Saccharomyces cerevisiae S288C: one gene and its partners. The gene in region 2 interacts genetically with the main gene of each other region. Each region holds a gene or a part of one and is shown on either strand. Other genes may lie near its edges.

What was found.
Region 1: of CST26 (region 2) and SCT1, extra expression of one rescues a mutant of the other (dosage rescue), as found in Saccharomyces cerevisiae (one study listed by BioGRID).
Region 3: of CST26 (region 2) and BUD9, changing one suppresses a phenotype caused by changing the other (phenotypic suppression), as found in Saccharomyces cerevisiae (one study listed by BioGRID).

What each region holds. Positions count from the first base shown.
Region 1 is NC_001134.8:201,884-206,470, reverse strand, and holds SCT1 (bifunctional glycerol-3-phosphate/glycerone-phosphate O-acyltransferase SCT1), read right to left. Parts: upstream 2,934-4,587; coding exon 654-2,933; downstream 1-653. Other genes in the region: LAA2 (Laa2p), read left to right, coding at 1-364; FMT1 (methionyl-tRNA formyltransferase), read right to left, coding at 3,210-4,415. UniProt on the Saccharomyces cerevisiae protein: Dual substrate-specific glycerol-3-phosphate/dihydroxyacetone phosphate sn-1 acyltransferase, catalyzing the first and committed reaction in the de novo synthesis of glycerophospholipids and triacylglycerols (TAGs).
Region 2 is NC_001134.8:319,844-323,280, forward strand, and holds CST26 (putative acyltransferase), read right to left. Parts: upstream 1,767-3,437; coding exon 573-1,766; downstream 1-572. Other genes in the region: long-chain fatty acid transporter FAT1, read left to right, coding at 1-432; QDR3 (Qdr3p), read right to left, coding at 2,033-3,437. UniProt on the Saccharomyces cerevisiae protein: Acyltransferase with lysophosphatidic acid acyltransferase (LPAAT) activity. Fatty acyl substrates include 18:0-acyl-CoA, 16:0-acyl-CoA, 17:0-acyl-CoA and 14:0-acyl-CoA.
Region 3 is NC_001139.9:575,572-579,709, reverse strand, and holds BUD9 (Bud9p), read right to left. Parts: upstream 2,224-4,138; coding exon 580-2,223; downstream 1-579. Other genes in the region: MTE1 (Mte1p), read right to left, coding at 1-234; mitogen-activated serine/threonine-protein kinase KSS1, read right to left, coding at 3,206-4,138.

The DNA of each region.
Region 1 (4,587 bases), 120 kb from region 2:
TCTCTTCCTGAGGGATAATTTCAAAATTGACTATACACCACCAATGACTTTAAAATCTCTTCAAAAGGAAGAGGAGCGTGAGCAAGAGCAGCATATACCGCAATTGCTTATGGCAGATTTTACTAGTATGGATGAAGAATCTTTACGCCAATACCACGATACATTGTGTCAATCCATTGACTTTTTGGTTAGTAAATCAAGATCATTGAAGAAACAACAGCGAGACCTCCTAAAGGATAAGACAACTTTTGAAAATGTAGTGACGAATTTGACAGGACATACCCAAAGACTACAGCGAGACGAAATTGCATTGTATAACAAAAAGCGAAACAAAAAGAAAAGGTTCAGTTGGGTAGGATACTAATCGCCGTCTCGGCAAAGCAGGTTGAACGTTGAAGTTTGAAGAGAATAAAATGTTATTAGTAGCATAGGGGACCAGACCAAAAGTCGTAAAAGAGCAATATACTTTTTTATAAAACATACAATTATACAATTAGTCCCCCCCTCAAGAAATAAAAAGCCCCTGTGCGAGGGATATACATAAACATTGAGCATTAATATTTACAACTCCCAATGAGCAATAATGGGTTTATTACATAAATAGAACGGCGAAAGATTTAGTTTCTAGTATCTTCACCGTCAGTAAATGGCATCTACGCATCTCCTTCTTTCCCTTCTTCTTCTTCTTCCTCTTCTTCTTCTTCCTCTTCTTCTTCCTCTTCCTCTTCCCTGGCAGTATTTTCACCAATTCTCTTGTTTAAGACGGCCTGTGCGATTTTACTTGCTAATCCATTTTTTTCCTCCAAGATTTCGTTTTCTACCTCAAATTCGGAGGAAGAAGAAGGTGCAACGGATGTCGAAGCTAAGGAAGACTCTGACTTACGATGAAAAGTAGAAGAGAATAATGGAATGTTAGAGAGGGAATTGTCACTATTGACCAATGAGACGCCATCGGAATCTTGGTTATGGTGTTCATAGGCATCGTGGTTGTCACGTTGGCTGATGATAGGTGATGACGAATCTTTTTCTTGTCTTTTTATTTTCTGTTTTCTTAGCATTTTCCTGCGATTCAATTCTGAGGTTTTTCGATCTTCTTCCTCTTCATCGATGACGTCGAATTCTTCACGTAGGGCGGCACTATCGAAATCGGGGAATAATTCGCTTCCAAAGTTATTTACAACTTCGATTATTCTTTCTGCCAGATTTCTACGATCCTTTTGTAGCTTTTGCAAGCCCTTTGGAGATGTAAGAGATAAAACCAGTGGTCTCAAAGATTTGAAACCATCCATACCAATATCACCCACGATTAAGGCGGAATACGTGACTATAACACACGAGATGTAAGACCCGGAAAAAACATATATTTTATTCCATGGTTTATGTCTGAGGTAATAAGTGATTAAAACGGACCAAAAGATGTAAAGCAAGGGCGCAAATCCCATCCCAATCAAGATTTTCCACGTGGCAATGACATCGTTAGCCTTTATTTTAACTGTAGACTTGGACAAAGCGGTACGGGCCTTTTCTTGAGAAATTCTCTTGGCTAATATGAAGACAGGTGAGAACATAATGATACCTGGCATGGCTAACGAAAAGAGGATGCAGAGCCCGATGGATCTAAAAAAAACAAGTCCGAGGTTTTTTGCGAAATTTACCTTTGCCTCCTCCACAAGGTGATCAGGAAGATTATAGTGTCTCAAGGCGGCATTATATGCCATTATATCTTTGGTCAAGTCCGCTATTTTAGGATCGTTTCTATAGAATTCGTAACCTTTGACCATTCTTCTGTTCATTTCCACAATCAAGGGCAACGGTAACTTGGTGCTAAATTGTGTCATATATAGTCTTCTTATCGTTTGAACCACCATCAAAGTTTCATAATCAGAACATGTAACGGTAACGGATTGTAAACCCTTCGATATGGTATCTAATAATTCTTTCACTGCATCTCTGTTCGTTTCCGGGTTGTGGTACTTGGCGACTAGTTCCTTCGGTATTTCAATGGGGTCACCGAATTCAACAACCGCTCTCGACCTGAACTTATGTGGATGGAAATAATTCATACCGCAGGGAACAATCTTAACATTGACGTCAGGATGCTTATCCATGCAACCAAGAGCCATAATCGCCACACCTGCTTTCAGGGGCAACAAGTTTGTTCTGTCGTGGGACCCACCTTCAGGAAAGATCCCAATGCAGTTGTTATGGGCCAAATGCTCAAAAACTCTATGGTAAACGCAAGATTGGTCGACTTTAGCGGCATATTTATAAGTAGTGCCGGTGAGTAAAGCAGTTTTAATCTCTGGTTTGGCCATTTTGAACTCTTTTCTTAGGGTCAAACTCGTGTCACTTTCTATGGACTGGATTTCTCCAAATCCCATTGATTTGGGTAACCCGATGAGACCCTTTGGCATACAATCAGTCAAGAAATGCGTGTCGTGGCCGATAACTCTCTTGTAGTCTGTTGGATCTACGCGGATAGTACCTTCTGCCGGTTTCAAATTATCCTGCGGCCTTACCACGCCTATGGCCATGAAGAAACTAGCCAAAAACCCTATGGGGGGTTGCTTTAATGAGCTCTCCGCAATCAAGAAGGACACACGTCTGTTGACAGATTTCTTCACCTCGCCCATAAGGATTACAGGGTCGACGAACTGGTTAGCATGCGGAGCCGCAACAAAGATCACCGGTCCCTGTTGCGGTACCTTGAAACTGCCCCGGCCTCTGATTTCTCTAAAGAAGCAGTGGAAGATGTTGTACAACAGCCATGTGGCGATGGAGTAAAGTATCTTCTTGGTAGCGCTAGGCTCTTGGTAGATGTATGCCTGATCAGCCGACGTCTTGACGCTTTTGGCCTCGATGGAACTGTAATTCGTAGTTTTCTGTGTGCTCTTGGAAGAGGCAAATTTCTCCGTGAGTTTTGGTGCAGGCATTTTTTTTTACCCCGATGTAAACGCCCCTGTGCTCTTTTTACTATATATTTAATTCCGGGCTTCCTACACTTAATTCACTCTGTTATGAACTACAAGCCATTACTAACATCAATCTTTCCGAATCATAAATAAACTGCAACTGGGAAAGAAGGCGGGCCTACTTTTCTTTTTCTTCATAGCGCGTAGGGCTTGGCAGCCATAGTTGTTGAGAGACCGATGGATGAGGGATTGAAAGAAGGGAGAAGAAGAATACTAAAAGAGGAATGTAGAGCCGGGTTACAGGAAAACTAACTTTTCACTCAGGGCGCCGCATCTTTTCCGCAGGCGCGCCATGAACTGGCCAGCACGTTCTACGGCGAAACCTTCGAACTGGAGGCGGCTCACACATAGTAGTAAGTTGCCGCGACAGGTGACCAAAATACAGTCTTTAATATCATCATATTTGAACATGCCCGGTTTACTGCCATTATCTAGACGTGCGTCTCTCATCACTTTACACTCATGAAACAATATTCGTTTTAATACTGAATTTTGAGCGTCCTTTCTTGCCGCTGTCGCTTCTTTGAACGCGTGCAGAGGACCGAGCGTTTCGAGTTTGTTAAGTAGTTCGGCGGCAGAATCGCGCGCCCAATGAATGCGTTTATCTTCTGTTGTTATACGGTGGGCGTAACTGGGTTTGTAAGCTGTTGGCGCTTGCACACGGTTCTGTGGTAGATATAACCTCTCACGAAGCGTTTGGCCCAAAAGTTGGGCGCCAAGGGCGCCCAACTGGTCCATCAGTATGGCAGTCCTCCGAGGCAGGCCCTCAGAATTAAAATCTGCCGTCGAATCATTGACTCTCCCTTTTGACAGCATTGTTGCGATCGCCAGTGGCTCCGTCTGCGCTACAATTGCACCATGGTCAAACCGATCCGGATGCAGTGTCTGTATAGTTACACCGGTGTAAGTGTCACCCTCGAGCAGAGCTCGCTGGATAGGTGCACTGCCTTTATGTCTGGGAAGTAGCGAAGGATGGACGTTTAGCGCCAATGGCACCGCGCGGATCAAGTCACCCGGAATGAGCTTCCCAAAAGAAACCGCAATGATCGCGTTGAACGGAGCACCGGAGCCGTCGTTCTCCGGATTTCCTTGGCGACTGGGTGTCAGTTTGCTTAGCGCCAACATTTCCTGCTTGGTGTCGCATGTAATTGGGCGTGGCAATTGAAGCTTCTCTGCCATATCGAAGATCGGCGGGTATTTCAAAATAGACTTCTGTCTACCGCACCACTTCGGCGACCTAGTTACTACTTGAATATTGTCCACTATACCACAGCTTCCATTATTTTGACGCAACTCATTGAGTGCTTGCAATGAGAAATTACTGAAAGTGTCGCTACCAAAGAAAAGCACATTCAAGGGCTGCACTGGTGGAGAAGCATTGTTTGAAATATATCTGCATGTGAATAGGAGGCGTGTAGGTGTTATTCTTCTCATTTTAACCATTTGTTTGATACGCCGTTTTCAATCTTCTCACTATGAGGTGCCTAGGTCCCCTTCCTTTTTTTTCTTACCTCTCTTTTTACGTTAATGAGAAAAGCGCTTACTCCTCTCCATAATAGCAGGTACAGCTTTTTTTGCTTTTTTCTTAATGGACGCTTCTTCCATTTGATATAAA
Region 2 (3,437 bases):
ACTTTCAGATGGAAATCTGAAAATGTTTCCACTACTGAAGTAGAAGATCAGTTGACGGCCAGTAACAAAGAACAATATGCACAAGTTCTAGTTGTTGGTATTAAAGTACCTAAATATGAAGGTAGAGCTGGTTTTGCAGTTATTAAACTAACTGACAACTCTCTTGACATCACTGCAAAGACCAAATTATTAAATGATTCCTTGAGCCGGTTAAATCTACCGTCTTATGCTATGCCCCTATTTGTTAAATTTGTTGATGAAATTAAAATGACAGATAATCATAAAATTTTGAAGAAGGTTTATAGAGAGCAAAAATTACCAAAGGGTTTGGATGGAAATGACACTATTTTTTGGCTCAAGAATTACAAGCGCTATGAAGTCTTGACCGCTGCTGATTGGGAAGCCATCGATGCACAAACAATTAAATTATGATTTGATGTTCCTGAATTAGGATAAAGTATTTTTCCTTGCACGAGAGTACGTATGTAAACGTAATATTGATAAAGAATCAAAAAAAGTTTTATATCTATCTATATATGTACCTAATAACATATGGAAAGGATTATTTAAATTCAAAAAATAAAACAATAAAGTTTATAAACTAACCAAATTATTGTTAGAGTTGGTAATATTAGCACTTCAGTTAACTCAATACGATTGATCTTGAAACTATCGGTAACTGAATGGTTTGTTTCAGGATCACTTACGAATGATCCAGTGGAATAGTACCTTTCCATTAGAGCATCCTTCTCACTCCAAATTTTATACAGCCATTCTGAAAATTCATTCTCGTCCTCTAATGGAATATCTTTAACATCAAATGCTCTGATGTGAATATCGACTAACTTCGGGTATTTTCCTTCTAAAAATATGCTCTTCAGCCCATATATAAGCTCACCATATTCCTCCTGTTTTACACCGGAGTAGCCGATCGTAATATCATAAAGACTTTCAATACTTGGCTTCAACTTTTGTAACGAGTATCTTAGGCCTGTAGAATGAGGCAGTAGCACATTCTTGAATGGCTTTTTGCCTATTTTGGCAGCATATTTAGCACTTTTTTGCCTAGTATCAGCACTGAGATTTGTACCTTCAGGGAATAGGATAAGATTGTATGGCCAATGGATTTGTTTTGGATCAATAACCTCCGGATTCCATATGCTCTCTCCTTCCTCAGTTATGCGCTCAGGTGACTTTCCAGCAAGTGAGCCGGCGCCCCTTGCATTCGAATCAAGGCCAGCAAGGCTGTTGCTTAGGGTTATTTTGTCTTGTGCCCACTTTCTACTCATAAAAATGAAATTATAGTTTCTCATACCGAAACCGAGGATAGGAATGGAAGCCAACGATTTTTTTAAAATAATGAAGACATTAGCCCCTAAGTTCGATGTGTAAGCCAACCACCATAAAAATATCCAATCCGTGTATATTTGGTGATTGCAAATGGCCACCGAATTGGACTTTAGATGAGAAAGAATCCTTTTCTTCTTCAAGTCTAAAAAAAAAGTACCTTTAGGAACACTGGAATTTTCAGTGGTAATTCTCACTGCAGATGGTGCGACAACATGCAAAATGGATGATACCAAGACAATAAATAATCTTTTGGTTTTATTGAGACCAATTTGTTTCCTTATATCATTTCTACAGTAAAGAGTCTTATAGGTGAGTTGGAGAAACAAAAGAATAAGGCATCCCTGGAAGAAAATCAATAAGGAAATACCTGGGACGACGACTTTTCGAACTTTATGAGCTATTTTTTGATGCAGCATCAGCTTATTGACCTCGCTAGCAATCTCAATACCAGTGGACCTGATATATCCTTTTTTTTTGTTGGCTAGTGTTCATTAATGATCTTTCGCGTTTATATTTCTTTTTCTGATGAGTTTTTCGCCTCTTGAGATGTTGTTGAACATTATTTAATAATACTTTTAGCACAATAACGATTTACCATAAACTAAAGTAAACTATGTATGTGCCACCCTATGAAAAGTCTACAATGAAAATATTTACGCTTCCGTCTTATTAACCGATATGATTAATCAATTTTGTCGTACAATTTTTGTAAATCGTAGTTCTCTCTCCAGTAATCACCGTGCTTTTTCAGTATTATAAGTACACTGCTAGCACCCAAGACGATAAAGGCCAGCATTGTGAAAGCCCACCCAGTTCCCATACCGTTTAACATGGGTGTGGTGACAAAGACTGCGGTTGCAGCCAAGATTTGCCTTATTAAATTATTCAAAGCAACACCGGTGGCACCCTTTCCCGGCAATGAATCGACTAAATAGGAAAGGGTAGCACCAATTGTCATCATAGCTGCATATCCAAAGAGGGCTGTTCCAATTAGTGGCGTTACCCAGTGGCATTTTTTATCTAGGCACCAGCCAAATATCAATAGCGCAATGGGGAAAGATATTACAGATGTAACAACATTCCACGATATACGAGCTTCAGGAGCAAGAATTCCATATTTCTCTTTGTATCTTTTTAAAAGCATGTCCACCCAACGTCCACCGTAAATTGAGGCGAAAAAGTATGTTACAGAATTCGGAATATACAGTAGACCAATGTATAATGGTTTAAAGTTGTAAGGAGGCCTTGAATATTTATATTCAACTGTCATATTAACAAAGTATACTGTGGAAAAGGAAATTGCGGAAAATGTTATTGCAAGTGCCACGGGTGGATATTCTAGGAAGTGCAATGATTTTAAAGGCTTGATAAAATAAACAAAAAAGGTGTCCCAGACCTTCCTCACCGCTGATACCTGTTTAGGAGCGATTTCACCTCCATTACTGGATAGCACTTTTTTGACTTGCTCTTCCAGGTTGGTTTGTAATTTTCTCAGACTATTTTCTCGAATCGATCTCGCTAACTTTGGATCTGTTGATCTTATTCTCGTAACTTGTGCTGTTGTTGCATCGATACCGCTATCATCTAGCTGATATTCATACAGACTTCTACTCGCCTCTGTATAAATCCGTTGCAATTGGGTTTCTCCAGCTCGACCATCATAAGTATTGGGGCTAGAGTGACTTTCTAAATCTAGCGAGTCTTGATCCCTTACCTCTCCAACGTAGTTATGCTTCTCAGTAGATAATGTGGCAACTTGGTTTTCAATTCGATCTGTCTCATCTTCTCCCCTCTGATAATCTTCTTGTATCTCTCCACGTTCGTTATTGTCTACTTGAATACGTCTTTCAGCCAAAATTTGAGCGATAGCGCCTTTAGAATCTTGTTTTCTTAATGTTTCAGGTAGTAACACCGTCAAAAGAATGACATTACATCCGGATAAAATAACCATAAACCATTGAGTGGATCTCCAGGGCCAGCGATTCACTAACAAAGATCCAAAAATTGGAGATAGTAGCGGCGCCAGTAGTGGACCCAAATAGTAATAACTCAAATTTTTACCTCTATCTTCGCTAATATATAAATCA
Region 3 (4,138 bases), on a different chromosome or scaffold from region 2:
CTGACTAAAAATCCTATGTTCTTCAATATCAAAACCTTCTGGATTTAGAATTGCTTTCAGCTCTTTTGAATTTATTTTAAATTCACTAGCTAACAAAACGTTATCCTTTTCCGTATAAAGCATGAATCTGTTGTTTAACTGAAAGTATTTCAGTCTACCATCGTGCCAGATTTTACGTTTCTTGTAAAGCTGATCAGTGTATTGGCATTCATACTCAACGATATGAGAGAGCATACTCTGTCATGCGATCCTTGGGGATTTCTTCTTTCTGGTGTTCGTGAAATGGGCTAGCTTTGGCGTGCAGTTCAAATTGAGATTTCACATCGCGAGAAGCTCTCAAACCGACTTTTTTCCCTAAATAGAGACCAATTATAAGAGCAAATAACATGCATATAAGATTGAGGTAAAGAGATATTATCGCTATTCCAACGAATATGAGCTCTTGGTGTTGAGATTTTTCCCTTGGTAGTTTCAGGAGGCTACCATATATTATTACATTGTTTTCTGAAATCTATAACATGGGTGTCTAATTATATAGAGAGTAGCAGGAAATCTTCGACGAGTAAGTCCAGCATGGAGTTACTCTCTTATTATTCCCACACCAAATCCTATTCCTATGCTAGCAAAGATAGCTAACATCTCTATACATCCTAATACAAAGCACAATGTCCTGAACCATTGTACGTCAATGTCCCATTCAAACCCTTTGAGGAGGCCGATTCTATGTTCATAATTCATTATCATTCTCATTAATCTATAATTTGAAACGCCATTATTTCCATTGATTGAAAAGAAAAAGAATAAGGGCGGAACAAAAAGGCAGATGCACAGTGTAGTTATAACCCTTGGAATACTATAAATCTCGGAGAAGCCATATATTCGGGAATCAAATGAACGTATGGAGGAGGAATCTATTCTTTGAATGGGCATTGTTTCCATTTGAAAACTTAATTGCTGATCTCGATCAATTTCTTGAGGAATTTTTTTATATTGATGTTGCTTAATACTATTGTCACCTTTTCCGACCCCAGAAGCTAAACCAGCTTCTATATTACTTTCGTATTCCTTTTCGTGTAGTTGGTTTGGACTACGCATGGTGTCCATTGCGATACCAAGAGGGACTTGAGGATTAGGAATTTTCTCTAAATCAATTTCGTTGGTATTCTTCTGCCTTTGATCTTGCATTCGAGTTCCAGAGGTTTCATTAGTTGGATTATACTGCCCATTAGAATGCACTGTATTTTTTAAAACAGCGGAAGAACTTCGCTGGTCATTAGCAAGGTCAGCTGCTTCAAAAGGCTTTAATATGTCAATTAATAGGGAATGGTTTCTTGGGGTTTTGAGGCTAGTGGACTTATTCGCTGGTATTCTGTTCCAGGCCTTTTTAGGAATTTGAAATTCATGTGGGATAAACGCTTTATCGGGAAAAGTACCATTTAGCGTGCTGTTAGGAACTCTGCTTTTTGCTACATCAACAGCCCCTTCCACAGGAGAAACAAGATCTACACCATACCGCATAGAAGGAAATGAGTATGTACCTTGTGTTTGCCTTGTAGACTTATTTCCGGAGACGGTAGCCCTTGGTCCCTGGTACGGCGCAGTTCCTTCGGGTGGTGGATAGAATAAAGAAGAAGGTCTGGTTCCCAGTTTCTCGAAGGATTTCATTGAAGATGATTCCATATGATCTCCTCTGGTCGTCCCAGCGTGCTTTTCTGCCGAACCCATATTCAACAGCACCGAAGTAGAGATGGTACCGCTGCTGCTGTGTCCATTTAGGTTAGTTTCAGCGGAAGACCCGTTTGAGGAATTTCTGTTCCTCTCATTTGAATTTGGCGGAGGTAAAGGGAATGCTGCTACTTCTGGATCTCGTCGTACTAAATCTAAAATTGAATCCTCTAGATCTCTATGTGATTCCTGATGGAAATTGTCATCTCTAGCATCTTCAAAGACTTGTTTACCATCAGTACTACTTGAATTTGTATCTCCTTTGAGGATTTCACTATACTTGCTATCATCAATATAAACATTGTATGACTTCACTTCTGATGATGGAAATGAATCAGATCCTTCGATGAACAGCGAACCAGATCTTATTCTTGCTCGCGGTTGATGGAATATTGGGTGGTCGTTCTCAGGTAAAGATGCGGATGAAGCCGTTGCCGATCCAGATGTGGATTTTGAATTTTCTGTCGTTATCGAAACATCTCTGGTTATTTTCGTCATTTCATAGGATGAAGAATGAAATTGTTGTAAAAAAAAAGGTAGTGAACGTATAAAGTTGGATGCTGTCTTCGAAAAAAAAAATAAGGTGTTAAATGAGTGGATGGTTTGGTATGCCTAAGCAAAAAGCTTTAGAAATCAAATTGAAAAATAAAATCGAGGGGAAGCTGGAGATAAAAGTAAGGCAAATGTCAGATAAATAGTTGCAAGGTGAGAGTGTACTATAATCTTTAGTAGTTGTTGTATGGTGATCCTTCGTCACCGTTAAGAAATGGAGGACAATTAAATGGAATACTCTGGGACGTTACAAGGAATAATAGTATGCTAGAATGAAAAAAATAATGGAGTCCTTCTACGTGTCAATGTACGTATGTGGCAATTAAGATAAAACTTTATAACTATACCTTAACTATTCTTGCATATATAATAATGCGAGATAAAAAATCACCAACTTTCTCCCTTTTAGAGAAATTAGCTTTTAGACTACCTTGGCTGGGTATTAGTTGTGAATATTTGGTAAATATGGTCAACTAGAAAACGAATGCGAACATCTAGCCAGGAATAAACAAACCCAGTAAACAAAACTTCTACTTAATACTTAAGAATAGAAAGCACAATGCCAAGACTTACTTGGGAGCCCATTCACTGTTGAATAGTGCTGGATAAAAGGTGTTGATATCGCCTCTTTGATTACAGTCGCGTCAGCTCTCCAAGCACACGCGATGGCTGGTTTTTCTCTGCATTTCCCGTTTAGGCAAAGCAGTGAAGAGGCTCATGAAGCCGCATTTCGTGTACTTCTGCTGGCGAAAAAAAAAAACTTGTTGCCGTGGCGCCATTTCGTTCCTTGCATTTTTCCATTGGCATGCATCGTGCATATGTGAGTTGAAGTTTCTTACTTACATATTGACCTACAGACCACAACGTGTCACTGCTAAGCTGAATATAGGGAAATTTTAGAAGTATGGCAGAAATGTTCTTGTGAATACTATTCCATGGTCTTCATTAGTTCATCGTAAAGCATGTCTTTGAGCATTTCTATGGGCACTTCTTCCTCCTCTTCCGGACGCATTATCTTGTTATCCAGTTTCCAAAATTCATCATCCAAATTAAGTGGAGGATATTCCGGCTCATCACTTGGGTCATGGTACATTGCCAGGTAAGGGTGTCTTAAAGCTTCTGCTGCGCTTATTCTTTTGTCAGGATTGAATTGAAGCATTTTGTCTAGTAAATCTATCATATCTGGATTCAGATCGGTCTTTGACCAGACGGTCTCCCATGGCAAGGGTGGCCTCATAGGTAAGTTTGCTATATACTCTTTAGCCCTCTTGGATTTGATCTGATTAAAGTCTTCGAAAGATGGAGTTCCCAAGACTTCTAGAATTAGCCATAATTGATGATGATAGTCTCTGCCTGGGAACAAAGGCTTCCCGGAGACCATTTCAGCCAAAATGCATCCGCATGACCATATATCCATCGCAGTTGTGTACTCTTGAAAAGTTAGCATTATCTCGGGTGCCCTGTACCATCGCGTTGCGACGTACTCCGTCATGAATCCTACCAATGTTTCTCTTGAATCGCTACTGCTAGCTAAACACCTCGCTAGTCCAAAATCGCAGACTTTGAGATCACAATTGGAATTTAGTAACAGGTTTGATGGCTTTATGTCTCTATGGATAACTTGTGCACTGTGAATAGACTTTAAGGCTCTGAGGATTTGGTATGTAAAGTATTGAACATGGTCATCACTTAAAGTGGAAAACCCGCTATTCTGATTATTAATTACTTTTTGTAAATCGGTTTCCATCAACTCTTCGACTAAATAAACAGCGTTTAGTTTGTCTATGGATACTGGCCTTACTTTATCCAATATACTTATTATGTTTTCGTGTTCATGGAAATACCGTAAAAGCTTGATCTC